Zea mays: one gene and its partner. The protein of the gene in region 2 binds, or shares a complex with, the protein of the main gene of each other region. Links are inferred from orthologs where the notes say so. Each region holds a gene or a part of one and is shown on either strand. Other genes may lie near its edges. The genes, in order: atpE; ATP synthase subunit gamma, chloroplastic precursor.

Region 1 (15,492 bases), on a different chromosome or scaffold from region 2:
GGCCAATTGTATTATTTCCTTGTGTATTCCTATAGGAAGTTTTTGTACATGTGTCTTCGGTTTCTCTTTTATCATTTCGTCCAAGAGAAAAAGTTCCTCTAATTCTATGAATCCTTCTAGAATCCTTTTCTCTTGAATATCAGTTAAGAAAGTTTCGGATTGCCTGGTATTCCACCAATTCTTAATCCAAAGTTCCAGACATTTGTTAAAAGAGAAAGAGACTCCCCAGGGCAAAAGTACGATAAATACAAGATATAAGAAAGAAGGCAATGCTTTCTTTTTTTTCATTTTTGATCTGTAAGCTGAATATATATGATATTTCTTTTCTTTGAAGCAAAAATTCTATAACAAGGTTTGAGACCTTGTGTTTGTATCTATTTCTCTTTTTGTATACTAGTGGAATTTCATTGTATTGGGTTCTTTCTTAGATCTAAATGGAGTGGAATAGAGAAATAAAAAAAGGCCTTTCGTATAAAAATGGAAGAATAGTATGCCATATATCTCACTTGGACAAAACAAATTCGAAGCAATTTTCTCTTATCCTCGTTTGTTCCTTCCTTTACTTTAGATAAATACTCGAAAATCCCCTTACAATTGCAAAAAATTGCAATTGGTACTCAAAATACTTCAATTGGTACACGCAAGAAATAGGCCAATTCGGCAGCTTTTTGTTCAATTTCTCGTGGAGTAAAAAACTTCTCATCAGTACGAGTCAAGGGAATGACCCCCTGGCCCCGGATTTCCATATAAAGGATACGACGAGGATAAAGACCCTCTTTAACCTGAATTCTAATTGATTGGATATCCCGCACAAGGAATTGAAGGAAGATGCGACGTTTTATTCCAGGGAATCCCCAACGAAAAATGCACACTATTCCCTCTTTTCTATCGAATCGGTCATAACCACTGCCTACATTCCATAAAATAGTGCACCACAAATAGGAGCTAATGAATAGGCCCGCGATTCCGTAGAAAGACATCACGACCCCCTGTGGAAAAAAAAGAATTTGTTGAGATGGAAGTACAGATATCATATTCTTACCAAGATAACTGGAAGCCCCAACCGCTAAGAATCCTAATGAACCTAGAAAAAGAATACAGGCCCAGAAAAAATTACCTCTTTTTCGAGAACCTTTTAGAAGTTCTATCCATATGTGTTCTGATCGCCAATTCATATTAGATATACTAAATCCAGTAGCGGTCAATTGAAATTGAGAGAATAAGCTAAATGATTTTTCACTTTACTTTTTTTGATTCTGAAATAGCCTTCAGTAGCTAGTACTCCTGTGAAATAATTGGTTAGATACATTGACTTTCTATTCAAAAAAAATTAGTGGATCCACTTAAAAAAAAAAACTCGCTATAGTCGGCTACGCATATGCATGCATTTATGCTCGTAGCTTATATCTGCATCCATAGACGTTTTTCATTTGTGTGTAGAAAGAGCTACATACCCTATCATATTATAGTACTTACACAAAAAAATATCTGTATTATGATCCTGGAAATACATTGAGAAAATTTGGCCCCGTCGTTTCTAGACAATCTTATTTTTCTGCACATAAAGAAATAAGGAAGTCATTGCAATTGCCGGAAATACTAAGCCTACTAAAGGTACGAAAATAGAGGGTAAGTTAAAATCTGTCATAGAATATGTGTCTCAATTCAAATTTACTATTTCTATCTATTCGAAATATATCTTAAGATTCTTATGATATAATTAAGTATATCTATTATAAGGAATATTGACTATTGTATTTTTTAGTTTACAAAATAAAGATTTTTTATAGATATAGAATAAAAAAGTATTCTATAAAATAAATGAATGGAATTGATAATAAGAAAATTGCAAAAAAGGGGAACTCAAAAGGGGAACTCATTAAAATAAAATATTTTATTTTTCTTTTCCCATTCTCATCGCCTTTCTATCCTTCTAATCGAACTTGAAATTGGATTCAAAAGAAAGCTATTGTGAAAATAAAAGAAATACCTCTTTCAGAATACCCTTTAATTTAAAAAGTAGAAGTGGAATAGAATACCCAGTTGAAGGGTAATGATCATACGTCTGTAATGCATTGTATGTCCCAGAATAGGTCCCATTCTTCTACCTTTCCGGGTAGTCGATGGCTATTCACAGCTACTACCTTAACACCAAAGAAGAGTTCGACCCAATGCTTTATTTCTGTCTTAGTGAATCCCGATTCGACATTAAAAGTATATTGATTCTTTCCCAATAAACGAAGACTCTTTTCTGTAAATACTGCGTATTTGATTCCATTATCGTACGATAATACTATATTTTGATTTATATTTGTTTATTGTATTATACCTTTCTATATTCTAGATATATAGAATAGAAGAATCTCGATTTGTCAAGTCTCATGATCGTATCAAGATCTATTTCAATTCGGCTCAGTCTTTTTTTTTTTTAGAAAAGATTGAGCCGAATTGAATTGCAATCAATTAGAAGAATAAAGAAGAATTACTGCATTTCTTAACTTATTTTTTCTCTTTCTATTTTGCTTTTTTTTTTATTTTATATGGTATCCATCGCTTTGAAACCATCAAATTTGATCTCCTTCCATATTTCACAAGCTGCGGCTAGTTCAGCACTCCATTTGCAAGCTGCTTTGATAATTTCATTACCTTCACGAGCAAGATCGCGCCCTTCGTTACGAGCTTGTACACAGGCTTCTAAAGCCACACGATTAGCTGCTGCACCAGGTGCATTTCCCCAAGGATGTCCTAAAGTTCCTCCACCAAATTGTAATACGGAATCATCTCCAAAGATTTCGGTCAGAGCTGGCATATGCCAAACATGAATACCCCCAGAAGCCACCGGTATAACACCTGGCATGGATACCCAGTCCTGAGTGAAAAAGATACCGCGAGAACGATCTTTTTCAATAAAATCATCGCGCAATAAATCAACAAAACCTAAAGTTATTTCGCGTTCCCCTTCTAACTTACCTACTACTGTACCGGAGTGGATATGATCTCCCCCCGACATACGCAATGCTTTAGCTAATACACGGAAATGCATACCATGATTTTTCTGTCTATCAATAACTGCATGCATTGCTCGGTGAATGTGAAGAAGTAGGCCGTTGTCGCGGCAATAATGAGACAAAGTAGTATTTGCGGTGAATCCTCCTGTTAAGTAGTCATGCATTACAATAGGAACCCCTAATTCCCTTGCAAATACAGCTCTCTTAATCATTTCTTCGCATGTACCTGCAGTCGCATTCAAGTAATGCCCCTTGATTTCACCAGTTTCGGCTTGTGCTTTATAAATTGCTTCGGCACAAAAGACGAAACGGTCTCTCCAGCGCATAAATGGTTGTGAGTTTACGTTTTCATCATCTTTGGTAAAATCAAGTCCACCGCGTAGACACTCATAACACGCTCTACCGTAATTTTTTGCGGATAATCCCAATTTTGGTTTAATAGTACATCCCAATAAAGGACGACCGTACTTGTTCAACTTATCCCTTTCAACTTGGATACCGTGAGGCGGACCTTGGAAAGTTTTTGAATAAGCAGGGGGAATTCGTAGATCCTCCAAACGTAGAGCGCGTAAGGCTTTGAAACCAAATACGTTACCCACAATGGAAGTAAACATGTTAGTAACAGAACCCTCTTCAAATAGGTCTAATGGATAAGCTACATAACAGATATATTGATCTGGGTCCCCAGGAACGGGCTCGATGTGATAGCATCGTCCTTTGTAACGATCAAGACTGGTAAGTCCATCAGTCCAAACAGTTGTCCATGTACCAGTAGAAGATTCCGCAGCTACTGCAGCTCCTGCTTCTTCAGGCGGAACCCCGAGCTGAGGAGTTACTCGGAATGCTGCCAAGATATCAGTATCCTTGGTTTCGTACTCCGGGGTGTAGTAAGTCAATTTATAATCCTTAACACCAGCTTTAAATCCAACACTTGCTTTAGTTTCTGTTTGTGGTGACATAAGTCCCTCCCTACAACTCATGAATTAAGAATTCACACAAGCACAGGGACAACTCGATAGGATTAGGCGAAAGAAACCTTTGCAAAAATCTAAAAAAAATGATATTTAATTAATATCAACTCATTAAATAAAAAAAGGAGTATGCTTAAGTTAAGTAATATGTTTCATTCATTTATGTATACACCCTGTGTACGTTCTATCCTATAGGAATTTTACTATAGGAATTCGATAGGAATTGAGTTGTTGTTATGGTAAGTTAACACGGTTCGTTATTAAACCGTGATTTGATTCACCAAATCCATCATTATTGTATACTCTTTGATAGATATAGCGCAACCCAAACCCTAATCTTTATTTTACAATTTTTAAAGTTCTTCCCCTTTGATATTTTGAATCTAAATACCTAAATACTAAGAAAATTCTCTGTTGACAGCAATCTATGCTTCACAGTAGTATATATTTTGTATATCGAAGTCCTAGATAGGAAAGTAGAGTAGGCACAGATCCTTCACAAAAGGCGAAATTTATATGAAAAAAATGGATTGAACTTTCCAACGGATTCATTCCATAAGTAAACGATTGAATGGGATTCGCTTGGGCAACGAAATCAAGTGCGAGTCCCCTTTTCTTTTTTATTGAATTAACTAATTCATTTCCTTTTGACTTTTGGATTTTTGGATATTTTTTTTGATTTGGCATTATTCAACAAGAAAAAAAATTTCGACAAATTCTTTTTTTTTTGAAAATTATGTGATAATTATGAGAACCAATCCTACTACTTCGCGTCCCGGGATTTCCACAATTGAAGAAAAAAGCGTAGGGCGTATTGATCAAATTATTGGACCCGTGCTGGATATCACTTTTCCCCCGGGCAAGTTGCCTTATATTTATAATGCTTTGATAGTCAAGAGTCGAGACACTGCCGATAAGCAAATTAATGTGACTTGTGAGGTACAACAATTATTAGGAAATAATCGAGTTAGAGCTGTGGCTATGAGTGCTACAGAGGGGTTGATGAGAGGAATGGAAGTGATTGACACGGGAACTCCTCTCAGTGTTCCAGTCGGTGGAGCTACTCTCGGACGAATTTTTAACGTTCTTGGGGAGCCTATTGACAATTTGGGTCCTGTGGATACTAGTGCAACATTTCCTATTCATAGATCTGCGCCTGCCTTTATCGAGTTAGATACGAAATTATCTATCTTTGAAACAGGTATTAAGGTGGTCGATCTTTTAGCTCCCTATCGACGTGGAGGAAAAATCGGACTGTTTGGGGGGGCAGGAGTAGGTAAAACAGTACTCATCATGGAATTAATCAATAACATTGCTAAAGCTCATGGAGGCGTATCCGTATTTGGCGGAGTAGGGGAACGGACTCGTGAAGGAAATGATCTTTATATGGAAATGAAGGAATCCGGAGTAATTAATGAAAAAAATATTGAGGAATCAAAGGTAGCTCTAGTCTATGGCCAAATGAATGAACCGCCGGGAGCTCGTATGAGAGTTGGTTTAACTGCCCTAACTATGGCAGAATATTTCCGAGATGTTAATAAGCAAGACGTGCTTTTATTCATCGATAATATCTTTCGTTTTGTTCAAGCAGGATCGGAAGTATCCGCCTTATTAGGCAGAATGCCCTCCGCAGTGGGTTATCAACCTACCCTTAGTACAGAAATGGGTTCTTTGCAAGAAAGAATTACTTCTACCAAAAAGGGATCTATAACTTCGATCCAAGCAGTTTATGTACCTGCAGACGATTTGACCGACCCTGCTCCTGCCACAACATTTGCACATTTGGACGCTACTACCGTACTTTCCAGAGGATTAGCTTCCAAGGGTATTTATCCCGCAGTGGATCCTTTAGATTCAACCTCAACTATGTTACAGCCTCGGATTGTTGGCAACGAACATTATGAAACTGCGCAAAGAGTTAAGGAAACTTTACAACGTTACAAAGAACTTCAGGACATTATCGCAATTCTTGGATTGGATGAATTATCGGAGGAGGATCGTTTAACTGTAGCAAGAGCACGAAAAATCGAGCGGTTCTTATCACAACCGTTCTTTGTGGCAGAAGTTTTTACCGGTTCTCCAGGAAAGTATGTTGGTCTTGCAGAAACAATTAGGGGATTTCAACTAATCCTTTCCGGAGAATTAGACGGCCTACCCGAACAGGCTTTTTATTTAGTGGGGAACATCGATGAAGCTAGCACGAAAGCTATAAACTTAGAAGAGGAGAGCAAATTGAAGAAATGAAATTAAATCTTTATGTACTGACTCCTAAACGAATTATTTGGGATTGTGAAGTGAAAGAAATCATTTTATCTACTAATAGTGGCCAAATTGGTGTATTACCAAACCACGCCCCCATTAACACAGCTGTAGATATGGGTCCTTTGAGAATACGCCTCCTGAACGACCAATGGTTAACGGCGGTTCTGTGGAGTGGTTTTGCAAGAATAGTTAATAATGAGATCATCATTTTAGGAAATGATGCAGAACTGGGTAGTGACATTGATCCAGAAGAAGCTCAACAGGCACTTGAAATAGCCGAAGCTAACTTGAGTAAAGCTGAAGGTACGAAAGAATTGGTTGAAGCGAAGCTAGCTCTCAGACGAGCTAGGATACGAGTCGAGGCTGTCAATTGGATTCCCCCATCCAATTGATGAAGACAATCCAAAGATTTCGTTGATACAAAGAAAAAGGAAAGAAGGGTAGAAAAAGTTATTAGATAGCGAAGCGAAGTAAGTCCAATGCTATCTAGTAATTTTTCTACCTACCTACCTACTATTGGATTTGAACCAATGACTCCCGCCGTATGAAAGCAATACTCTAACCACTGAGTTAAGTAGGCAATTTATCACCACAAAAGAAGCCCCATTACTTCGATCGATTATAGATTGAATCCTTTTTATAAGCAATACCGCTCCGTTATTGGTATGTTATGTTATATAGTAAACGGATCAAAGGGATATCCTCTGGCATTAGAGAATATTCATCTTGACAAGAAATTATCTATATGTTAAGATATCTCTGACAAGGGCTATAGCTCAGTTCGGTAGAGCAACTCGTTTACACGTGCGCCAATGCTTTTCAAGGGAACTTATTATGCAATGAACATAATTGACCTTGTTGCAAAATCAATGTCTTACTTCATGGATTCGAAAGAATAGAAGAACAGTAGCCTGACAATGACAAACAGCTGGTTCAGTCCGATTCAGGTGCCAATTAAGGTGCTTACTCAAATAGAACTCCTATTGATTTGCTAGTTGATAAGGTAAATATCCAGCCCACTCAATGCTAGGCGTAATGAGGATAAGGGCCTCCAAAAAACTTCTTTTCGTTCTATGAACTTTAAGGTGTATGAAGTCTCATAGTAAACTCTTGCAGCGGAACGATAGAGACTCCATTTCACTTAGGTTGATTTAATTTAGGCCGGAGGCGACCTAAGTCAAGGTAATCCTCCTTTGAAACACTTTGGTATTGTTCCTAGATAGATCATAAGACAAATAATCAATCAGAGCACAGGGAGCCATCTTATTATCTTTCCCTAAAGAAAAACTATGGCGAATTAACTGATCTTTACATTAGTTGATGAAAGAGCCCAATGCAGAAAAATGCATGTTGGGTCTTTGAAACAGTTCGAATCATTTCGATAATAATCTGTTTGATCTGTTTTACCGAGAAGGTCTACGGTTCGAATCCGTATAGCCCTAATATATACGTCTTTTTTCCATTTTAGGATGGATATCTTATGTTTCCTTTAGTATAGTTTTCTTTTCCTTATTTAGTACTTGTTTATAGACTCGATGGTCGATTGCGCCATAGAATAGAGATAAAAGCATTACCATAGGCTCATTCATCGAAACGCAAATCAGAGAGACAGGAAAAGAAAAAAGAATTTTGATCAAATCAATAGAAGGAAGGATCCCTTACCTGATTTGAATTTCATCCTCCTTTAAATAGGATATGCTCTAAGTCTTCCCATACTTTCCTATAATGACTGCAACGATTTTCTCCATTTTGCGAATTCCTATTTTATTTGAAGTATATTACTATCATATACATTATCTAAATCGATCCACTTTAAATAAAATAGAAAAAATCGAAAGAAAAAAAAAAAGAAAGAGTAAATAATAAAACAGGATATTCTGTTTCATAATTCTGAAATAGAGTTCTTTTTTTTAGTATTACTCCTCATTAGGATGTATATATTAATCATCCTATTTTAATATATATTAATCATCCTATTTTAATTAGGTTCTAATCCAATTAGTAGTAAGTATTTTCTTTTTTATTTAATAGTCTCTGACTATCATTAAATAAAGGGTAGAGCAATTCTTTTTTCTAGAGATTCTAGAGAAAGTGAGACAAAGTGAAGCGAAAGAGTTTTCTTTGTATAAGAATTAGGTCTATATCATATCTAAATAGAAGGGAAATCAAAAAGAAGGGAAGTGGGGATTACATTGGATGAATCCTTAAGGAAGACATATCACAAAAGAAATAAAGGCTAAAGTAAGCGCTCCTTGCCTTTGGTTTGAGCAAAACAGATTCTTGTTTCACCGAGGAAAAGAGAGAAGTTCTGGATAAATTGACAATGTCAACTTGAATTGACTAATTCAGTTCCGCCTATTCCACATTAATGGGAGTACATTTATGTTTCTGCTTCACGAATATGATATTTTTTGGACATTTCTAATAATAGCAAGCCTTATTCCTATTTTGGTATTTTGGATTTCAGGACTTTTAGCCCCGGTTAGTGAAGGACCAGAGAAGCTTTCTAGTTATGAATCGGGTATAGAACCCATGGGGGGGGCTTGGTTACAATTCCGAATACGCTATTACATGTTTGCGCTAGTTTTTGTTGTTTTTGATGTGGAAACAGTCTTTCTCTACCCTTGGGCAATGAGTTTCGACGTATTGGGTGTATCCGTTTTTATCGAAGCTTTCATTTTTGTGCTTATCCTAGTTGTTGGTTTAGTTTATGCATGGCGAAAAGGAGCCTTGGAATGGTCTTAACTGAATATTCAGAAAAAAAAAAAAAAGAAGGAAAAGATTCCATTGGGACAATTATGAGTTTGATTGAGTTTCCGTTACTCGACCAAACAAGTTCCAATTCCGTTATTTCAACTACACCAAACGATCTTTCAAATTGGTCAAGACTCTCAAGTTTATGGCCCCTTCTATATGGTACCAGTTGTTGTTTCATTGAATTTGCTTCATTAATAGGCTCACGATTCGACTTTGATCGTTATGGATTGGTACCCAGATCAAGTCCTAGACAAGCGGACCTAATTTTAACAGCTGGTACGGTAACAATGAAAATGGCTCCATCTTTAGTGCGATTATATGAGCAAATGCCTGAACCGAAATACGTCATTGCTATGGGAGCCTGTACTATTACAGGGGGCATGTTCAGTACAGATTCCTATAGTACTGTTCGAGGAGTTGATAAGTTAATTCCTGTGGACGTCTACCTGCCGGGTTGCCCGCCTAAACCAGAGGCTGTTATAGATGCCCTAACAAAACTTCGTAAGAAGATAGCGCGAGAAATAATTGAGGATCGAACTCTATGTCAAAGTCAAAAGAAAAATAGATCTTTTACTACCCGTCACAAACTTTATGTTCGGCGCAGTACTCACACTGGAACTTACGAACAAGAATTGCTCTATCAATCACCATCTACTTTAGATATATCTTCTGAAACTTTTTTCAAATCCAAAAGTTCAGTATCTTCCTACAAATTAGTGAATTAGGAGGGGTTCTTTTGTGCAGAAAAAGAAAGAAAAGAGCAGTACAATCTTTCAAACTTGCATTTGAAATGTGAAATATTTATACAAAGGGGGAGAGATCAAGACAATGCAGCAGGGTTGGTTATCTAATTGGCTAGTTAAACATGACGTGGTTCATAGGTCTTTGGGCTTCGATCATCGAGGAGTAGAGACTTTACAAATAAAAGCGGGGGATTGGGATTCCATTGCTGTCATTTTATATGTATATGGTTACAATTATTTACGTTCCCAATGTGCTTATGACGTAGCACCCGGTGGATCTTTAGCTAGCGTGTATCATCTTACGAGAATACAGTATGGTATAGATAACCCAGAAGAGGTATGCATAAAAGTCTTTGCCCAAAAGGATAATCCTAGAATCCCGTCCGTTTTCTGGGTTTGGAGAAGTGCCGATTTTCAAGAACGCGAATCTTATGATATGGTGGGAATTTCTTATGATAATCATCCACGTCTTAAACGTATCTTAATGCCTGAAAGTTGGATAGGCTGGCCCTTACGTAAGGACTATATAACCCCCAATTTCTATGAAATACAAGATGCTCATTGAGTGATAATAAATTCATGTTCACTTATACAACACAATTCCAGATTTTATTCAAGTCAAGGAATATTTTGACGTTCTGTTCCTAGACGAAACGAAATACTTAGAATATAATATTCTAATTAATTCCTATTATACAAAAGGTCCAGATAGACTGAACAAAAAGGGCTTCATTTCTATTTTCCAATTTGGAAAATCACATATTTGTTTCCTTCGTATGAACAGAAAAATACAATGACTCAAAGAAGTTCCTACCACGAACTTTGTACCGCGCATATTACTTAGAACAACTGGGAAAGTAGGATAAGCAAGAATAAAAAAAAATATATTCTTCGGAATAGCGGTATACAAAATTAATAAGAAATGCAAAATGAAGAAAAGGGCACCTAATCTCACCTCTTTCTATACCATAAAGAACCAGAGATTTAAACCCTTTTTTTTAAAAGAAAAAGAAGTGTGTAGAGATTTATCTACTTACTCTAGAGATTTATCTACTTACTCTAGACTAAAGACTAAGTAGATTTTTAATAAATATTTACCCCAATCCATCTCAAAATATTTGTATCAATATCTATTCAGTAGATCCTTTTTTTCTGTGCCAGGAACCAGATTTGAACTGGTGACACGAGGATTTTCAGTCCTCTGCTCTACCAACTGAGCTATCCTGACCCTTTCTTGTGCATCATCTTAGTAAAGTATTTGCATCTATGTCAATTAAAGGGACTAAAAAATCAATAAAGTATTCCATTCAAAATTAGGAAATGGGAGGGGTTAGTCCTATGCATTGTGGATGGCTTACTTAATAATACTTAAAAAAAACGAATTAATAATCGAGATTCCTTGCCGATACTCTACTCTAATAAATAAAAAAGAAATAAAAAAGAAATCATCTATTTAATGAATAGCATAAGATTCATTGAGTTCTTGTCGCACTCCTTTGTGAAAGAGTAGAATGAGAAAGCTAGTGAATCTTAAACCCATTGATAAAAGAAAAAAAGGATAACAACTATGGTTAGGGAATAAAAGAGGGTTTGGGGATAGAGGGACTTGAACCCTCACGACTTATAAAGTCGACGGATTTTCCTTTTACTAGAAATTTCATTGTTGTCAGTATTGACATGTAGAATGGGACTCTCTCTTTATCCTCGTCCGATTAATCCACTTTTTAAAATTAAAAGATCTCGAAAACAATGAATTGAAGGATTTGATTACTCAATATTTGATTGGAATAGATTCACAATAATTCTAAAAAAAAATTATGAATTTTCTATTTCATAATCATTCCTAATTTCATTCTAAAAATAAAATAAAGAACCTATATTATAATATGGGTTCTGTGATTAATCGTTATTACTTCGATTCGTTAGAACAGCTTCCATTGAGTCTCTGCACCTATCCTTTTCCTTTGGGTTCTAGTTTGAGAACCACTTGTTTTTCAAAAAAGGGATTTGGCTCAGGATTGCCCATTTTTCATTCCAGGGTTTCTCTGAATTTGGAAGTTACCACTTAGCAGGTTTCCATACCAAGGCTCAATACAATCAAGTCCGTAGCGTCTACCGATTTCGCCATATCCCCATTTTACTTTTCTTTGAAACCAGGATTCCTTGTATAATTTAATCCATCTCTTAGTTTTTTTTGAATCATTGAATTCATTATTCGACGTAGTCTAGCAACTCATCTCTATTTGAGACACCCCGCTCGCTTATTGCAATTCAGAATTGCATTGATTTTATCGTTGATATATTTGCAATTCAATCGGAATGAATATATCCAAAAGTTTTTCTCTCTCCCGCCTCCCTCCTTCCTTTTTTAGAGTATTCCAAATCATACTATAACGCTTGATATTCATTCTTTTTTTCTAAACTGAATTAGAAATTTCATTTGCTATGATTCTATCTTCTCCTTAGTGAACTATTTATCCTTAAATTATTAACAAATAAAAAAACAAAATATCTCAAAAATGTATATAATGATCAAATGAAAATGCCAATCTCTTGGCATTTTCTCTTTATTATATTATTCATATATATTCTTCTTTTTCTTCTTTTCTATGTATTAGATTATTCCTCCGAGCCATATCAAATTGAAAATATCTGAAATCAAATTCAATATAGAATTTGGAATAGATTCTATTAAAAAAATCCATTTGCGAATTAGAGAAATAAAAAGAAAGTTCAATAAATTCTATAATCCTATTTAAGAATATCATTTAGTTAAGCATATCAAGCTAACTTTATCTTTATGAAATTCTAGTATTTTTTTTTTTCTATCTAAGTGGAACTTCCAATTTAGAACTAGTTAATAACTAAGATTAATAATTAAGATCTGACATTTTACAGATTCCCTATATATATATTTTTATTTGTTACACTATTTCTGTTATGTAAGCCCACTTAGCTCAGAGGTTAGAGCATCGCATTTGTAATGCGAGGGTCATCGGTTCAAATCCGATAGTCGGCTTTTTTTTCTATCGATGTTCTATGAACAAGAATTTCTCTTTTTCTCCGAATAAAATGGGGAATCAGGGTCTATTATGTCGTTTTACCTTACAATTTTGCTAGATACAAAGCATAAAAATAAATAATATATATACAAAAAATCCAGATGTTGATGAAATTCCATTTTTTGTGTTACTCCATTTTTTGTGTTACTTTAGTAGATTTTACTCTGTTTATCCTTTAGTTTAATTCTGTTTGAATTTCGCTGTATTCTGTAATGTAAATAGAACGAAATTTATTGTGTAAAATGAAATTTCAATAAAATAAAAAAGGAGTCTTCATGTCCCGTTATCGAGGGCCTCGTTTAAAAAAAATACGCCGTCTGGGAGCTTTACCAGGACTCACTAGAAAAACGCCTAAATCCGGAAGTAATCAGAAAAAGAAATTCCATTCTGGGAAAAAAGAGCAATATCGTATTCGTCTTCAAGAAAAACAGAAATTGCGTTTTCATTATGGTCTGACAGAACGACAATTACTTAGATATGTACATATCGCTGGAAAAGCAAAAAGATCCACAGGTCAGGTTTTACTACAATTACTTGAAATGCGTTTGGATAATATCCTTTTTCGATTGGGTATGGCTTCAACCATTCCTGGGGCCCGACAATTAGTTAACCATAGACATATTTTAGTTAATGGTCGTATAGTTGATATACCAAGCTTTCGTTGCAAACCCCGAGATATTATTACTACGAAGGATAACCAACGATCAAAACGTTTGGTTCAAAATTATATTGCTTCATCCGATCCGGGCAAATTACCAAAGCATTTGACGGTTGACACATTGCAATATAAAGGACTAGTAAAAAAAATTCTAGATAGGAAGTGGGTCGGTCTCAAAATAAATGAGTTGTTAGTTGTAGAATATTATTCTCGCCAGACTTGAACTTAACGAAAAAAGGAAAGGTTCATAGAATTTTTTTCCCCTTCCCCTTTCCCCGAACTAAATCGACCTAAGGCTCTTAATTCGTATTTTCCCGTTCACCTAGCAGAAATAGATTAACCCTAGGATACTTTTTTCTTTTTTGTTATTTCCTCGATGTGTATTTTACATACCACAGTAATTTGCTATAGAGAATTTCTATTAATTAAAGGTATTATTGTTGGAATAAATTGTTATTTAATTTGATACATTGTGATCGCTAACATTGATGAATTAAGAGAAACGGAAAGAGAGGGATTCGAACCCTCGGTAAACAAAAGTCTACATAGCAGTTCCAATGCTACGCCTTGAACCGCTCGGCCATCTCTCCTACATAATCTTATTATGGAAAATAAACTGAGTGAATAGCGAGTTTTCGTATTCCTGCAGTACAGGTACAGCCACAACGGCTCGGGAATTCCATGGCTCTATTGGATTGGATGGAAAAATTCCTTTTCATCTAAGTGGAAGGATCCTGTATTTTTTTACTAGGAATTCTGCTCCCTCGAAAAGTTTTTCTTTGGGGAAAACCAAAATAAAAAGAGAATGGAAGAATTCTTCTTATTCCATAAGAAAATAAAGGAACCCTAGAATTCCATTTGCATAAGGTACATTACGCCATACAATCTAAATATAAAAGGGGTATGGGGCAATTAATGACTTTGAAAACGCGAAATAGCTGATGAGGGAAGTTGTTGTTGAGAAATAGGAAAGTGGAATGAAATTCCAGTCTTAGTCAAATATTTCATATCTCTTCTTCTCTTCTTGTCCAAACAGAGGAAAAGGAGACAATTTGAGCTGAGCGGAAAATCCATATCTCTCTTATCCATTTAGAGCATATGGATCGATTTATAAGAATCGAATGTTTTGTTTTTATGTTATTTTGTGATAGAATGAAAAGAATTCTATATAGAATGGGTTGGGAATTATGCCTAGATCCCGTATAAATGGAAATTTCATTGATAAGACCTCCTCGATTGTAGCCAATATTTTATTGCAAATAATTCCGACAACCTCCGGGGAAAAAAGGGCATTTACTTATTATAGAGATGGTGCGATTTGACTCTTTTTTTTTTTAGCCCTACCTATATCTCATTCTTACGAGAAAGAGAGAGGGTTCGCATAGAGAGAACAAAATTAGTAAAGGAAACCCGCGCTTGGGGAAGGTGAGGTGAACTAACAATTCCTTCTGTCGTGTATCCTCGATTGATGTGGCCTCAGATGCTTCAATTGTAGATTTGAGTATTGAGCGAAAGGTTACACCTACAGGATAGGTTCTGTATTACAGGGCAATCCGACTCTACTAGTACCAATAGGCAGCATAGGGGAGAAAAGCACTACACCACGAAATAGGAATCAACAAGAGAAAAACTTTGTTAGAAATTAGCCCTTTCCTGATTGGTATCAGGGTTGGGAAGAATGGTTGGGATAACAAACAACCATCAGGTTTGTACTTTGGATACCCTTATAACCATCAAAGGTCGTTGAAGTGGCTAATTCCTCTAAATAGGAGGCGTTGAGAACAAAGAAATTCTTGGAGCTATCGTTTTCCTCTAGCATTAATATAATTCATTGGTGTTAAGAAAAACCTCTTGGGGGAAGGTTGGCTAGAGATTTCTTGGAAAAATACCAGCCCCCTTCGGTCCATAATGAGATGGGACTAATTCGATTTTTATTCTATAGATTTTTCGCTTAGTACTATGTATAGAAGGGAGAAGCCGTATGAGATGAAAACCTCATGTACGGTTTTGGAACGGAGATTTTTTGAATAG
Region 2 (16,353 bases):
AACTTGTAATTAGATCCGTTCCGAACAAAAATACGCAAATAGAATAAGTTAGGGTTCAGGTACTCGGTTTCGCGCAGCAACGGAGGGAAGAGAGGATGCGCATACCTGGTGGGTGTTGGTCGCCGGCGAAGGGTCCGCCTGAACGAGACCATGCGAAGGAACCGACGAGGCTAGACTCTAGCAAGCACGTACGTGACGTAGGGCGGTGGCCGCGGTCGCGGTCACCTAGTTGCGCAGAGAGAGAAAGCGCACGTAGAGTAGTCGGGAAAATAGACGGCAGGAGTGGGAAAAGATGATTCTGACCACTCTCGTTCAGGGAGCCGATCAGGCAACTCGGGAGGCGATTTCCGCCGGAGTAGCCGGCTCCGGCCGCCGCTCAAGAGTCTGACGGGAGCAAGCTCTGAAACGCTGCTCCAGGACCAGGAGGAAGAACGAAGCGTTATTGTTGGTCTTTTGGTGTGTTTGGGTTGGGCCTTGTGTTTTGTACGTATAGGCCATCTTGTTTAGTTATGTGGCCCATCTCACGTTGCATTGTATCGATTCGTAATGTCACTTGCTGACTTGCATTGCATCGATGCCGGCGCGGTGGCTAGGCTAGGGCCTAGGGCTTATAGCCACTTGATGCCGGCAATGGAGGCGGAGACCCGGAGATCCGGCGAGCCGGCGAGGGCATGTTCGTTTACGGAACCGTTCCGACTAGAATAATAAGTTTATTTGTACTTTCTGACCTCAATCCAATTTGACTGAACAAAGCCCAAGGAAAGGTGAGAGATCCGGCGAAGCCTGTGATTTGTCGCAGAAGTTGCTGGTACCTTCGCCGTGCGTTTTCGAAGGTGTGAGTAGAGATGACAATGGACCCCGGTCCCTGATTCCTTGTGGATAATTTATTCATTAGGAGATGGAAATAAAGAAGGTTCCCCCACAGAGATGTAAACGGAAAAAACCTCCCCCAATGATAAACGAGGACAGGGATGGGAAATCTCCGTTCCCCGCGGGGACCCGTTAAACTTATGTATGATGATATTTTCATATAATATATAATGATAAAAATAAATAATTACATTGTTAAGAAATCACTCGTTGTATAAATATGTTTATTTCGATTTACACATAATAATTTCTAACGTCTGACAATGTGTATAAGCGACAATATTTTGTATTAATAACAAAGAAAGTATATGCCATGATTATAATTTAAACGGGGATGGTGATCCCCGACGGGGATTTATTCCCGACGGGGATTTATCCCCGCGGGGAACGAGGATAGGGAAGAAATGCCCTCCTAATGGGAATCCCTACGGAGAACTTTTTTTTGTTGCGGGGACGGGAATGAGAAGCCAAAGCCTGATAGGGAATTCCTGTTACCATCCCTAGGCATCACTGAAGAAGAAGAAGAAGACATAAGCATAGGTAAGGAAAAAGGCGCCAATTGTTCTAAGATGCCAGCCGAATAGGCGCGTTGTTGGGTCAGAATGGGCCAAATGAATATATTTCTATATTACAAACGTGGACGCAAAGCTCGTCCACCGTTCGGCCACGTTAGCTTAATTAATTCATGCCGTCAGATCGCGAATCAACACTGTGCATCAACCTTTCCCTTGCAGATCCTAGCGAGACGTTACGCCTACCTTCGGGTCCGTGCTGGAAACATCCAGAACGCGATTAAAAAACAAAACAAAGGGCTGATAAAAAACAAAGGGAGAAAATACCACCTTCTAGCTGGGCGAAAGAGCAGATGCGGAGCAGAGGCGCATCCGCGCGGAGGAGCCGAGGCGAAGAAGGCGATGCAGGTACTTCTTCATCCACGCCTTGCATTTTTATCCTCCTCCCACCTCCCGTTCGAATCCGCGTCGGGCCACCACATCCCAGCTCCACCTCCCCCCTCGGGCCGCCGCATCCTAGCTGCCTCTATTGCTTCTTCAGTGACGGTGCATTCAGCCATATTGCGCATCCTCTCACTCCGTAAGGAACCAGTTCGCTCGTCATCTTCCTCGCGTCTGACCTCATCTCTACCCCCACCGTCGTTCGTGCCTTCATACTCCGTTCCCTGTGGCCGCCATCGGGACGTGCTGCTATTCGCTCCCGAGGTGGCCACGAGGCTCTCCGTGCCCAAGCTGCCTCTACGCACTGGCAGCACCGCCTGCTGTGCGTGCCTCCTGGTGTACCCGCCGCAGGGTCCTAGCCATGGCAAGCCCACGAATAGAGAAAGCCAACAACATATTCCGCCATTCCTCATTCTATGTTCTGATGTTTCTTCCCACATCTTCCATCGGCCAATGTGACATTTTGAAGAACATAGCGTCGCCTTTGCTAAAGACTCCATCCGTGCGTGCTAGCTATTTGATGATACGCCTCAGCAAAATGTGTTGTCCAGGTCGCCCTGTTGTGTTGCACTGTTGCACACGGTCATGTTGTATGACGCATGCACAATTGCATACATGCTTAGCCACGCCCGCACTATACGCTGTTGATCCTCTTCATCCTCCACATGCTAATGCGGTATTTCAAATATGCCATGCTTTATATATGTGCATATATTGATGCATACACACACGCACATATGTATTTTTGTGTGTGCGCATATGTATGTATGGATACACACATCAGAGTAATAGGAATGTTTATATGTCAAGAGGAAAGAGCTGATTGAATTTGTATTTTCCGTAGTGGAGAAGGGAACGTAACAAATGTTAACTAACTACTATAAATGAAACACATAAAAGGTTAGTCAAATATGTACCATATAAACCCAAAGGAAATGGTTGTAATTTTTAAAAAAAAACTATTATGTAAAAAATATAAATCTAGAAGTAAGATTGTAACACGTACCTGTCTTCGAGCGAGGTCTTCTTTTTTTAGACTAATCGGGATGAAGAGTAGAACAATAAAATGATAATGTGACAGAGAGGTAAGGGTAAACATTAGCTTTCAATCGGTTGCAGTTAAAAAAAGTGCTAATGTAACTGGCAAACCTTTTAAAAAGAAATGTCATATTAAGCCATATATGCCACCATTTTCTCAACACATATATTCAGTATTTGTGCAACCTTTTGTACCGGTTGACCATGATATTCTTCTAATCTGAACGCCAAAGGTTGTGAAGACACCTGAATCGACGATTTCATTTTATTAGCCATATCATAGGAAGGAATTGAGGGCAAGCAAAAAACAAGCATATTGGGATTATATGGTTACTTTCCAACATGCTTGTTTTATATATCATCGTATCTCTATTTGTTTCTATCAAAAAAAAACCATCAACATTATAGTTATAATAGCCTTATATATAGTATCCCTCCTTTAATATACATATTTTTCAGGGGCGAACCCAACAAAAAGTTTGAGTGGGGCCCAAAACCTGAGTGGGGTCTAAATAAATACCTATTTACTAATGGACCTTTATAGCTATAGTGAATAAGATAAAAACTCCATTAGAATCAGAAAATTGAGTCAGCCCAACGTGAGTCCGCCCCTGATATTTTTGGTAGAATCGTACAAACTAGCGCGCGTAGGAAGCGCGTTAGACACTAGTGTTATGTAATAGTGGGCTGGACGAGCTGTGGTTTCGTGAGAGTATAAGTACTTGAACAATGTAATAGGCTGGTAACTTTTTGAGAAGAGCAAAATATACGCCGCCACTCCGTCCGGCGTTCGTCTCCCCTCCCCCACGCCATAGCCATACCTCCCTAACACGAGGTTCCATCACCCACAATCACAAAATGGAAGCTTCAAAGAATGTCTTGACCACGTTTGGCACTTCGATAGGTAGGCTTGCCCATACTCTGGTCTGATCAGTGTGTTGCAACCATAGCCAACGTGTTTGAAGTGCCATGCCAGCTATAGAGAAGTTTTTGACCCCAAGTTCACTAGAAGATTTTGGCTGACAAATATAATGCCAAGCCACTACCGCCTTCCCATTTGTTGAGTTATCTGAGCCTGTCCAAAAGAATATACGAGCAATGGTATTAATTCCTTTCTTAACCCAAGTAGGAACTTGCTCAGCCATCAACGCAAAATTTGGAAGTTCCAGCAGTGTGGATTGAATTAGAATAAGGTGACCACTTTTTTCTAACAAGGATCTTGCCAAGCTGGTAGTTTTTTGGCCACTTTATCAACTATAGGTCGAAGGTGGGAATTTGGAATCATTCTAGTTGATAGCGGCAACTCCAAGGTTAGTTTGGTAGCCACAAAATCGAAGGGGATTTTGAATAAAGAAGTGATTTTAGTCTCTCTAATCTCTTCCGGTTTTTAAACTCCTAAACTAGGCCTAAATATTTGATCGGGGTCGAAAAGAGCTAGCAGTTAAAAATACGAGGAATTAGCACAAAACTTTCTATATTAGAGTGGTTTGGTACTAACACATAGACATTAAAGTCGATACGTTCAGATAAGATCTCAATTGGTTGGCCTGTGCTCTTGACGATCCGAGTTGTGCCCGTCATAAAATCTCTCACCCATGCAAGCAAATCGCATGAAATTTAACGTAAGAAAATGAAACTTGAGGCACCTAGATGCATCATACATGCATGCTATCATCTCCGTACGAAACACCGCAAGGTCATTTCCCTCTTTCCGTGCAGAAACTAGACTTGCTTCTGAGTGCATCTAGATGGTTAGGTTTTCAGATCAATAAGCTCTGTTACTAGGACACATGAACATACAATAAGCTAGTGCTGCTGCTGTTTACATCTTCGTTGCTCGTTGGACGGGTTAGCCATTGCGATTTGATATACACACACATATAGTAATTTGCATATAGCATAGATAATAAGCTAACAAAGAAACTTGTACAATATAGTTGTATATTAATTAACTCCAATAGACATCACAATAATTTTTCATATATGATATATATGGAGAAACAAGACTTACATGATTACATCTCTGTTAACTTGAACTTGCTTCCACGAAGACCGCCCAAATTAAATGATTCTATTATATATAAGAGAGCTAATCTTCATGGTCAATTCCTTCTCAATACATATGATCATATAAATTTGTGGAAAATCATATTCTATTCTATTCTATTCTATTCTATAAGCGTGTGTCGGTGCCCTGAATATGCTTTGGGCACTCATTCCTGCTATGTCAAAGTGAGACCCTAGTGGCCACCGTTGAAGATCTCACGGGCAGCCGACCTAACATGGGGCTGAGGCCCACCATATGGAGTCGTGGCTAGACCAGGTTCGTCTCTTGGGCTGGACGACCGTCTACATCAAGCCCCATAAAGGGAGGAACCGACAACTTCAAGTCTGGGATCCTGCATATAGGACCAGGACCTCCTTGTGACCCGACGAATCTCCGGACAAAGGGATCCGGATAGAACATAAAGCCACGGAGGAGAAGGCACTCTCCGGTTACAGCACCAAGGCTTCAGAATGGTTCCAAGAATGGGAAATAACACCCGAACCTCAGGCCACGTGAGGTCCGGTATCGCCACGTATCCAGGCGTGGGTGGCCGAAGCCCGGACCCCCTCGAGTGCGATCCGGGCCCATGATCAGGGAATGCTTGGGAATACCATGTCGTCGCTTATTCTCGGGCCTATCCCTTATCCAGGCAGGGGCATGAAGAGACGGATGGAGAAGACGAGATGACATGATCGTTACACCCTACGCACGAGAGCGTATCAGGCTACACCGCAACCTACATCAAGACCTGAGTTCCGATTAGACGGGGCAAGGTGACAGGATAAGGACGACAGAAGATCGTGCAACGTCCAAGAAGGGATACAGACTCATGAAGATCTAGCGTTGTCAGCTCTACCCAATTGTTTCTCGTTCCATATTGTACTCTCTTAGGCCCATCGGTCAGAGCCAAAACTCCCTTGTATGTGCCTTCCTTGGACTATAAAAGGGAGAGCACTTGCTCTGTAGCAGGGAGAGGTCAATCTAACACTCGGACCTTCGACTCCCTAACTCTAAAGCAATATAACTCATAGTGAATGTGAGATACTATGCTCCGGTGGCCTGAAACGCTCTAAACCCTTGTGTTCTTGTGTCCATCTAGAAGGCCAGACAATCAACTAAACCTACTCCTCATCAGAGTACCAGGGCGGATGCAATCTACCACCCGGCCGGAGGATTCGCCCCTGCAACAACGTGTTTTGACAATTTTTGTAGTTGAAAACACTATCTTAGTGGTTGCAGGTTAGGCAAGAGGGACTACCATTAATCTTAATAATCTATTAATCCGTAGAACTTTTACCCAATTTAATGAGTCCTTTCATCAGCGAGTGATGGTAATGTATTTAGCTCTAGGTGATGTATACACCAAGCTGATAATGTGGAAGTTGGCGTTTTAATTGGAACTTTCTTGATTGAAAAATCAGTGGTGTAACTTTGATATATCAAAAGTGTCTGTTCTTGGATTCAAAGAAACAGAGAGCGATAAAAGCTCTATCGCAAAGCTAAAACGATCATCTAACTCAATTAGTTGTTGATCAACCGTTACATTAAACACATCTACTTTATAATAGTGAAGAGTTACAGTGTTACCACGCTTGTCACTGTATTACGTCGCCATAGCAAGCTTGATTCCAATATGCTCCATCCATCCACAGGACAGGATTGTGATAACTGATGAGACCAAGATATGAGCCGGCGTTGTTATCATGGTGTCATATATAGTTTACCTTCATCCCCTACCGGCCTGATGATTCTGAGGAAGTGACGTGATTCAACTGCAGCATTATATGTTTCTTCTCTTAACAATGTTTTTTTATAAAAAAAAAGAACACAGAAGTTTGATAAATTTTGCATGAAAAAGCAATCCTGTCAAATTGCTTTGAGATTTATGTGTTCAAAACAGCCTCGTCTTAGTTGCTATTGCACCTTTACTCATGTACTAGGTAGGGTGTTTGGTGCATGCCGCAGGATGCCGAGCCGTAGCTGATTCGTGCCAAACATTTGGAAGACTTGGGCATAAAAATACACTGAGCTTCGACGTCTCAGTTGCGGCAAGATTATACATTTTGGCATCTCTGGATTGAAATTCTTGTGTGTCGCAAGGAACACAGAACTCCGTTGCGTTTGTGCTATTATCAGGAATTACAGGCAGAGTGGAGAAAATGAGGAAAAAGAATTATATATAGCAGGAGCACCGCACCACCAAGGGGACTCAGGCTCAGCCAGCGAGGGCGTCGGCACCGGCGACGATCTCGAGGATCTCCCCGGTGATCTTGGCCTGGCGCTGTCGGTTGTAGGCGATGGAGAGGTTCTTGCGGAGCTCGATGGCGTTGTCGGTGGCGCTGCTCATGGCGCTCATCCGGGCGGCGAGCTCGCTGGCGAGCGACTCCTGCAGGGCACGGAGGATCTGGCTGTTGAGGTAGAGCGGGAGCAGCGCGTCCAGGATCTGCACGGGGTCCTGCTCGAACTGCACCACGGGGGAGAAGGGCTGCGTCTCGATCTTCACCTTCTCGCGCTCCACGGTGAGCTTCCCCTCCTTGGTGGTGAGGCGGAAGAGCTCGTCCTCGGTGGCGTCCACGCAGACGCCGTTGACGTCGCAGATCTCGCCCTTGGGCGACATGGGGAGCAGCGTCTGGATGATGGGGTCGGAGCGCACCAGCGACACGAACTTGGAGTAGAGCAGCTCCACCTTGTCCACCTCCTCGGAGACGAAGAGCGAGTAGACGAGGTCGCAGATGGCCTGCGAGTCCTTGACGGTGGGCACGCTGCTCACCTCTAGATCGCGCTCCAACGGGATGTAGGGGCGGCGCTGGAAGTAGGCGTTGCCCTTCTTCCCCACGCTGACGACGGTGTACTGGAGGCCCAGCTGCTTGAGCTCATCGATGCGGGTTTCCGCCTTCTTGAGCACGTTGTTGTTGAAGCTCCCGCAGAGGCCGCGCTCGCCGGTCAGGACCACGAGGGCCACCTTCTTGACGGGGCGGGTGCGGGTGAGGGGCAGGTCGATGTCCTCCGTCTGGATCTCCTGGTTCATGTTGTAGAGCACCTCCACCAGCGCCTCCGAGAAAGGGCGAGAGGAGACGACGGCCTCCTGCGCGCGCCGGACCTTGGCGGCGGCCACCAGCTTCATGGCCTCCGTGATCTTCTGCGTGTTCCTGACGGAGTCGATGCGGGTGCGGAGCTCACGGAGGGAACACCGCACCAGGAGACCCGAGCGCGGGGGGGAGCGCCGTCGGGTGGTGGAGGCGCTGCTGGCGAGCGCCGAGGAGGACCAGGCGGTGGAGAGGTGGGAGCACGACATGGCTGCTGGTCCGCGGCGCGCGGGGTCGGGGGGAAGCGGAAGAGACAAGGGGCGGGACGGGATGGGAGCGAGGGAAATGGGTTTGGATGGATTGGGTTTGGGTGGAGAGGTGTGCACGGTGGGGTATTCAAGCCGAGCTGAGTGGTGGAGGGGCAGTGATGGCGAGATGGGGAGGATCATGTGGATCTGCCGAGCTGGCTGCACCGCTTTGCAATATGACGCTCTCCGCAGTCCATTTTTGCTTGTCAGGAATGGAAAACAAAATAATGCTCTGGGGAAACTGGGATCCTGCCCAGGATATCCCACGGTAAAATAGCAGATACTCCCTACGATCACAATTTGGAGGAGCTTTGGCCCATCTCTACAGGAATCAAATCGTTTCCAGTGAAATCCTGAATAGTTTCTGTGTTCCAAACGCAACAAGTTTCAAGCCTGTCCCGAAGAAACCAATTTGAGCTCAACTCCCAGTTAAAAACGGCACTTTGAAGATTTAATCTGCTGAGTTGAACTTCACTGTTGATTTTTCTTGGACTTAAATTGTTAGTACTCTAAATCCTCACGTATAAAAAAACGGCTCAACAAAACTGATGCAAAGTTCATCTCAAAGAAATACATAGGAGATGAAATTGGTATTTCAAGGTACTCGAACAAACACACAGATTGAGATACATACAAGTACAACAATATCAGGTTTAAGGGAATGGAACAAGTACAACAAGATCAAGTTTAAGGGAATGGAACCAATTCTGGAAAGTAAGTTGAACCTCAGGGTACCAACGACAGCATGACACCCGCGTAAGCCTAATCCCTTGCAGTTGCAGATTGAGGATCTTTCCTTGGTGGCTTGTAGACACTGAAGTCACCAAAATCCCGCCGTCCACTGAACCACACAAGAGGTCATACAGATAACAGTAAATATCTGGTGATGAAAGGAAATCTGGACAAAAAGACATTACGACAAATAGAAAGATCTTTTAAGGTCACTGGTACATGGCTATAACTTCGATATTCGCTACAGCTTGGCCAATTCTAAGCACCAGGAAGTTCAGGCAATTATGCAACTAATCAGCATGCATAGCGCACAAGAGAAGATATATATGAAAGGCAAACAACCTGTGGTTAATATTCCAGCCAGAAGGTAAATAACGGGGGTGAACAGCTTCAACAAAGATCTGCCTCCACCTTTGGCAAAACTGGTTAACAAATTCCTCTCCACCATTAGAAAACAAAAGTTCCACAACTTGTTTACCATGATGCCCATGACCCAACAGGGATATCTTCTCAGCATTCTTGGAAATGACCTGACTAGAATTGTCACATATGGATTGTTCCTTGTCGTCATGACTGTTTCCAGGAGTACAGGCACCTCTTGCTTGCTGCTCGGTATCGGTCTCGAGTGTCACAGTGTCATGATCAGAAGTGGTGTCCTCCATGCTGACTGGCAAACTTGAGCTTCCCTGGCTCAGGGTTAAATTCTCTAGCTGGTTTTGATTCCCTGTCTCATCAAACTCTTGCTGACCATTACTACCAGTTCCAACCTCAGGAAATCGCGCAGATAAGGCATGACAATTTTCTGATCCATGTCCACTGTCTTCTGAGATGGTATTGCTGCTGCTCTTTCTAATAATAGTTTGAGCCTGAGCTCTAAACGAATATCCCTTTTTCTTTTCAAGACGCCTTCGCTCATGAGGGCTCATACCAACAAGTAATGCCATCTCGAGATCTTCAGGAGTCACATCTCTACCACCATAGTATGACTTCACAATCTGCAAAGAATTGAACTGGTTCATAACAGCAACCTATAGCTAAGAGCAAGTACATATTTAACAAGGGAAGCATATGGACGGATAGGATCAAACATGTTAATACGTCGATGTCACTATGTCAGCTCCAGAAACTGTTAAGTAATCCATATTGAGCCAGAAATACAAAAAGGATGTCATCACCTGCATTAGCTCTTCACATCTCTTCAATGGCATAGTGGATCCATGACGTAGAAGAGCCATGGCAGCAGTCCTCAGCTGCAATGGGGAGACACCTGTTCCATTCAATTTATCTTCAGATACTGATGTGTTGGTAATCAAACTTATATCACCCGAGTTCATTATCTTTTGCACAAAAAGGGGTATTCCAAATTCTTCTGCTATTCGCCTCTTGTATTTCTCAGCTGCTGAATGAGCTATTTCATGACAGTCTACACAAAGAAGTACAATATCATGTGAACGATGGCTCTTTAAATGTTCTGGAAAATGCATCCTGTAGCATGACGGTATTATTCTGTATCTAATATAATGGCTCTTTTCTCCACAGCCCACACAAATATTTTTCTTGCTCTGAATATAGAACTCGTTATCTTCATCCTCTGGACGACCTTTAGGTTCAAAGAGAAGCATGATTGCTGGAGGACTATTTTCAATCAATTTCGCCAAATTACGCTGAATGTACCTGGGATAGAAGAGCTCATCAGTTTGCCAAAATAATTCTTCATTCATGCTACATGCATGTAAATAGCTAATGAGCATATATTTAGGAGACAAACCATTCCAGTTTTTTGCGGTCACAGTAGCAAAGTAGTCTTCCATCACTAGCATAAATCCTGCAATTGTGATATACCGGGGACTTGCAGGAAAACTTTTTAATGAATAAATCCCGTGAAACCTTTTTATTAGGCAGTGCTGTCAACTTCTTTCCACTTGGAGCAACGGAAAACATACTTGTTTGCTTCAAACTTAGGTGTGTTATAAGGTTATAATTATAAACTGATAGTCGACATAATCCACTTGGATCTTTATACTTCTCTAGTAAACTTTTAAAGATGCTGTCCATGCTGGTAGTGATGTCATCCAGCAGATAACAGAGTTCTTTGACATGAGCCACAACAAGAGGTGACGGTGATGACAAGGAAGGGTACATACTTGAAATGCTTAGGTCAGTTTCTGCTATGACAGCAAACACCTCTGTTGGGCCCTTTGGAAGACTAACGGCAAGGGCAGCTATAGCTTGGTCTGGCAGAACATATCGTAAGCTTTCATCATGCATCCGAGCCTGGAATGATCCAAAATCCAAGTTATTATGAGATATCAGAAACGAAGAATAGACCCACCACAACTACATAACTGCAAATATGCATGATATCCTGGAAATGCATTTACTTCAATGTGCCCAACGTTATGCAACTTGCCTGAGTGACATTTGGTGGTCACCCAGGATTCAAAAGGTGATAAGGCACACAACTAGTTTGCTGCTGCTTTCACTTGTATGAACATCAAGCTTTGCTGATTGGAGGTAACAACAAATAAGCAATTAAAAAGATCTACTTTGCAGAAGGGGATGCAGCTATTCTAAGGAAAACAGTTTTTTACTGACCATTAAGTCCCTCCATGCACAAAATTTCCAAACAAGATCCTGTGGATGCAGAAGATTAGAAATTCAGGAACAGAAAATACAAAATCGCTGGCTGGCAAGCTAACCAGAAGACATTCTACAATCAAAAACTGAATACAGAAAAGAAGTACCTTCACTTCACTAGACTTTTTGGAGTCGAACCCATGAGTTTGCAAATTTCGTGAGAGAATAGATGTTGCACTGGAAGCTCCAGGAGGGGATTCAATTTCTTTTGAATACAGTTGCATGCACACCATATTTGAGCGATGACTAGCCTCGAAGAAAAAATTGATTTTATCACTGGAAGTATCTGATTAGATATTACAGATGATCAAAGACTTGAGACATATGATGAAGGCCAAGGGTACCACCATATCAATATGTGATTTAATGTTGACAAGAAAAGATAATATTTAGGATTATCCAAATTTTATGAGGGTTAAAGTATCAATTTCTGCAGTTAAGCAACAGGATAGCACTATATTCAGGATAGCAGTTAAAGTTGACAAGAAAATATAATATTCAGGTCATCACTGACATCTGCCTTTCTTGGTCCCTGATAGAGATTGTATAGGATTGTATAGTTATTTGGCACCAGGTCGGCGGAAGCACCGGAGCACATACAAGATGATGCGCGCAGCCCGCATGCAGGATGCATCCGAGCATGGCCCATAAAAAAACTGGCGCCAGCCCCCAAGCAGGATATATGCATGCACTGCATGCAGCATCACGTAAACCGAGAGAGCTATTTTAATAGTTTTTCGTTATATCTTTTAATTAAAAGATTTAATCGTCGAACCGATCTCATGTTTGTGTTTATAAGTTTTTTGTGATCAAAACTAGACCACACATGCAATATACTTTTAATATTTTATTACTCATTTATGTGTGCGCGCGTGGGTGCGTGTGGCGTGCGCGCGTGTCACTGAACCGGTTCGGTGCACCACCGGACCGAGCCACGTCAGCTAGCCGTTGAACCAAAACAGCGCGCCCACGAACTAGCCGTTGGTTGAGGTCCGGTGCACCACAAGACCCTGTACTATTCACGGTCCGGTGAATTTTAGCCAAAATTCTCGAGACCATATAGTTTCCCGCAGACGGTCCGACGCACACCGGACCGACCCTGTAGTCCGATGCACCCAGACATCACCCTTCAAGTCCTTTTCTTCTCCATTTCTTTTCTATTCAACAAGTCAAAGTGTACTTAGCTCTTTGGGCCCTTCCAGGTCTTGACTTCAATACTTCTCCACTTTTTATGACCATGTCCTACTACTTGAGCTAGGATCTTGAGCCTTATGACTTGAGCCATGAAGATTGTCGAAAGAATGTTCCTCAACATGAAAGAGTAAGATGCGAAGAAAAAGGCCGAAGAAGAATCGAGAAAAAGACCGAGGAAGACAAAGGAAAAGGCAAGATGGAGTACAACGACGACTTGATTGAGCTTTTGGTGTCCAAGGTGATGAGCAAGGTAAGTCTCAACACCGAATAATCATCCACCAAAACCAAAGATACCGAATTCAACCGATTTCAATTTGATTATTCTCGTAATTTTGTACTCAACTTCTCTTCGGCACCCCTTGTAAAGCTTACAACTCTTATTGAGTATGACGAGTGGACCGACAAGATGAAGTAGCATTTAATCGGTGCACATCCAAGTCTTTGAGAGATTATCAACATAAGTTTGAACAAGGCTTCTCAAGGAGAAGAGATGACACCAGAGATTATGCAAAAAAATGCATCGCAATGCTTAAGCCGCATAATCAAAATAGCACTAAGATCAAGATAGCACAATCTGAGGAAGCTCCAACCAAGACAAGGGACTCTTTAAAAGGGAAATGTGCCCTTGGACAATTTCTATAAATGTTTTGGTGATTAGATGCCCAATACATATTGTGTTTAAGGTGATGTGTACTAAGTGTTGAAGAGATGCAAATCAAGAATCAAGGTATGACTCTAGCCTTAGTGAATTGTTTTTGGTACTAACATATTCCTCTAAGTGCTAGGAACCTTGTCAAATCAAATGAGATTAGATTGGAGAAGTTTGGCTAAGTCCAGCCAGACTTGCACCAGCCTTCAGTGCACCGGACTGTCCGGTGTGCACCGTACAGTGTCCGGTGCCCAGGCTGGCTCAACGATGAACTCGCTACTCTCGGAAATTGCAGAGGGTGCTGCGGCTAAAATTCATCGGACTGTCCAGTGGTGCACCGAACTGTCCGATGAGCCAATAGCGCCCGCGCCAATGGTCGGCAACGCGATCAGCGGGCGACACGTGGCCAGAGCCAACGGTCACTAGGCCGCACCGGACTGACCAGTGTGCACCGGACAATGTCCGGTGTGCCAAGGGGACCGAGGGCTCAACGGTCGGCTTCGCCAGAGAAGGAAAGAAATCAGGCACTGTTCATGTCCGGTGATGCACCGACTGTCCGGTGCGCCAACCGACAGAAGGCAAGAATTGCCTACCAAATGGAGATCCAACGGCTACTAGCTGCCTTGGGACTATAAAAGGGGGGTAGGCGCATGGAGCACAACACCAAGCCTCCATTGAACATCCTAAGACGCCTAGACTCCACAAACACGCATCCGAATCACTGTGACTAAGATTTGAGCACTTGTTGAGTTGTAGACTTGTTGCGCTGTGTTTTGTGTGCGTGCCATTGCTGCGACTCTAGCTCTTGCGTGTGATTCCTTCCCTCCCTTACTCCTGTGGTTTTCATTGTGATTAATTTTGTAAGGGTGAGAGGCTCCAACTTGTGGAGATTCCTCACAAGGGAAACATCAACTATAAGGAAGAAAATCGTGGTATTCAAGTAGATCATTGTATCGCTTGAAAGGGGTTGAGTGTAACCCTCGTCCATTGGGACGCCACAACGTGGAAGTAGGCAAGTGTTCTACTTGGCCGAACCACGGGATAAAAATCGTTGTGTCACCTGTTGTTATTCTTGTGCGATCTTCCACTCACTTGATAATTGCTCTAAGTTTAATACTCACTTTGTAAAGAGCAATTAAGTGAAGAAGTCGTCTCCTTCTCTCTAGACATAGCACCATGGTTTTGATTTCACTAACACTTCATAATCCAAGTTTGTGCTATTTAGTGTTGATTTTTACAGGATCACCTATTCACACCCTCCCCCTCTAGGTGCTCTCACTCTCATGCCTTGGTTGCAAATGATCAAGATAGCACTAAGAAGGGTAAAGATATCAAGTCCAAGAAAGTGTTCGAAAACTCGAGTAATGATGAAAGTTTAAGCGATGAAGACACGACAATGTTCATCAATACCTTTAAGAAGTTCGTTCGAAAGAATGATAAGTTTAGAAGAAAAGTAAAGAAGAGGGCATCGTATGAGTGTGGCCAAACCGGTCATTTTATAGTGGACTGCTCAAGCAAGAAAGAACAAGAAGGACAAATTCAAGAAAGGAAAACAGGGCAAAGGATATTTCAAGAAGTATGGTCAAGCTTGGTGAGTAATTAAATTCATATGAGGATAGTTCTAGCTCGGACGAAGAAGGGGTGGCAAACATTGATGTTCAATCCACCTCGACGTCTCGACTCCTGACCAACCTCTCCGATGATTCCTTCACTCACACTTGTCTCATGACAAAGTTAGACAATGTATATTTGTTTAATATAAATTAAATTGATAATAATGATGAACATAGCATGAAAAGTAAAATGATTAGTGAGTTTAGACTAAATAAGTATAATGTCATCACTAAGCTTATAGAGAAACTGGGGAAAAAGAAAGAAACTTTTGATGCTAAAGAAAAAAATGAAAAGGAGAGAAACCTAAAGCTAAAGCTTCAAGTGTTGATAACTAGTAAAAATGAAATGTTAAATGCTTTAACTAAAGAAGTGTATATAGCCAAAGTAACTACAGAGGATAAAAAAATGAACTCTCTTGTGCTAAAGTCTTTATAGTTGGTCTTGCAAATGTCAAAGAAACATTTGAGTCAAGCATATCAAACTTTAAGGTTCAAAACCAAGAACTTCAACATATTTTACAACTAGTGTAGGCACACACTTGTTTTCATGACTTTTCTTTTAGTGTAGTCACCAACAAATTTTACAACTAGTTTGCCTTAAAGATAAGAGTGAGAGATAGGAGTTCGAGCCTTCTCTCCATTTGTAGAAGTAACATTCTTCAACTTATCCTTTGTGTTGCACAAGTTCACCTTCCTTTGAGTTGTTTCACCCTTGTAGGAGTGGATCCTCCTTAAGGCATCATATAAGGTGGTACCTTATATGAACTTAGGGGATCACCACCCCTTATGCTCAATGCTAGGGTTCACCTCATAAGCGTTGTACCCAAGTCCATTTTTTCCATTGTTTTTCCTTAAGGGTTTGTACTTAGGCTCAACCTTACTTAACCCATCATTGCTAGAGCGTCTTTTCAATACTTGTTTGACATCAACCTTTGAACTATTCTTCCTTGCATGGTTAGTTAAGCAACATGCAGCATGATATTTTAAACAATGTTTATATGTGCTAGTGTTGCAAGAACTAGCATGAGAGTCTACCACTAAGGTTGAGGTGGTGGAGATCTTGCACTTGTCAATTAGCACTTGAAGTTATTGGTTTTGAACCTTAAAGCTTGATATGCTTGACTCAAGTGTCTCTTTGGCATTTGCAAGACCAACTATAAAGACTTTAACACAAGAGAGTTCAGTTTCTTTATCCTCTATAGTTATATTGGCTATAGACACTTCTTTAATTAAAACATTCAACATTTCATCCTTACTAGTTATCAACACCTGAAGCTTTAGGTTTC

Evidence for each region.
Region 1: the proteins of ATP synthase subunit gamma, chloroplastic precursor (region 2) and atpE are in contact, whole or in part, in a cryo-EM structure (PDB 6FKF), measured with the Spinacia oleracea proteins. The link is inferred for Zea mays from reciprocal best matches to the Arabidopsis thaliana genes ATPC1 and atpE. Residues at the interface, in NP_001413255.1 of Spinacia oleracea: Asn81, Gly82, Pro84, Phe85, Thr88, Leu89, Glu91, Val92, Arg178, Pro186, Thr187, Ala188, Lys189, Gln192, Asp196, Asp197, Phe199, Ser200, Leu201, Val203, Ser204, Glu205, Glu206, Ser279, Ile281, Leu282, Glu283, Phe284, Glu285, Gln286; in NP_054942.1 of Spinacia oleracea: Leu8, Thr9, Pro10, Asn11, Thr26, Asn27, Ser28, Ile31, Pro39, Thr40, Ala41, Thr42, Ala43, Gly64, Gly65, Phe66, Arg68, Ile69, Thr75, Leu77, Val78, Asn79, Asp80, Glu82, Lys109, Arg110, Ile113, Glu114, Leu117, Arg121.

What each region holds. Positions count from the first base shown.
Region 1 is NC_001666.2:45,349-60,840, reverse strand, and holds atpE (ATP synthase CF1 epsilon subunit), read left to right. Parts: upstream 1-6,219; coding exon 6,220-6,633; downstream 6,634-15,492. Other genes in the region: cemA (envelope membrane protein), read right to left, coding at 1-288; photosystem I assembly protein Ycf4, read right to left, coding at 618-1,175; psaI (photosystem I subunit VIII), read right to left, coding at 1,538-1,648; rbcL (ribulose-1,5-bisphosphate carboxylase/oxygenase large subunit), read right to left, coding at 2,537-3,967; atpB (ATP synthase CF1 beta subunit), read left to right, coding at 4,727-6,223; ndhC (NADH dehydrogenase subunit 3), read left to right, coding at 8,624-8,986; ndhK (NADH dehydrogenase subunit K), read left to right, coding at 9,040-9,723; ndhJ (NADH dehydrogenase subunit J), read left to right, coding at 9,827-10,306; rps4 (ribosomal protein S4), read left to right, coding at 13,079-13,684; photosystem I assembly protein Ycf3, read left to right, coding at 14,649-14,772. UniProt on the Arabidopsis thaliana protein: Produces ATP from ADP in the presence of a proton gradient across the membrane.
Region 2 is NC_050102.1:161,829,598-161,845,950, forward strand, and holds ATP synthase subunit gamma, chloroplastic precursor, read right to left. Parts: upstream 8,247-16,353; 5' UTR 8,204-8,246; coding exon 7,124-8,203; 3' UTR 6,924-7,123; downstream 1-6,923. Other genes in the region: Polynucleotidyl transferase ribonuclease H fold protein with HRDC domain, read right to left, coding at 9,005-9,083, 9,317-9,969, 10,150-10,648, 10,743-11,248, 11,570-11,608, 11,719-11,897. UniProt on the Arabidopsis thaliana protein: Produces ATP from ADP in the presence of a proton gradient across the membrane. The gamma chain is believed to be important in regulating ATPase activity and the flow of protons through the CF(0) complex.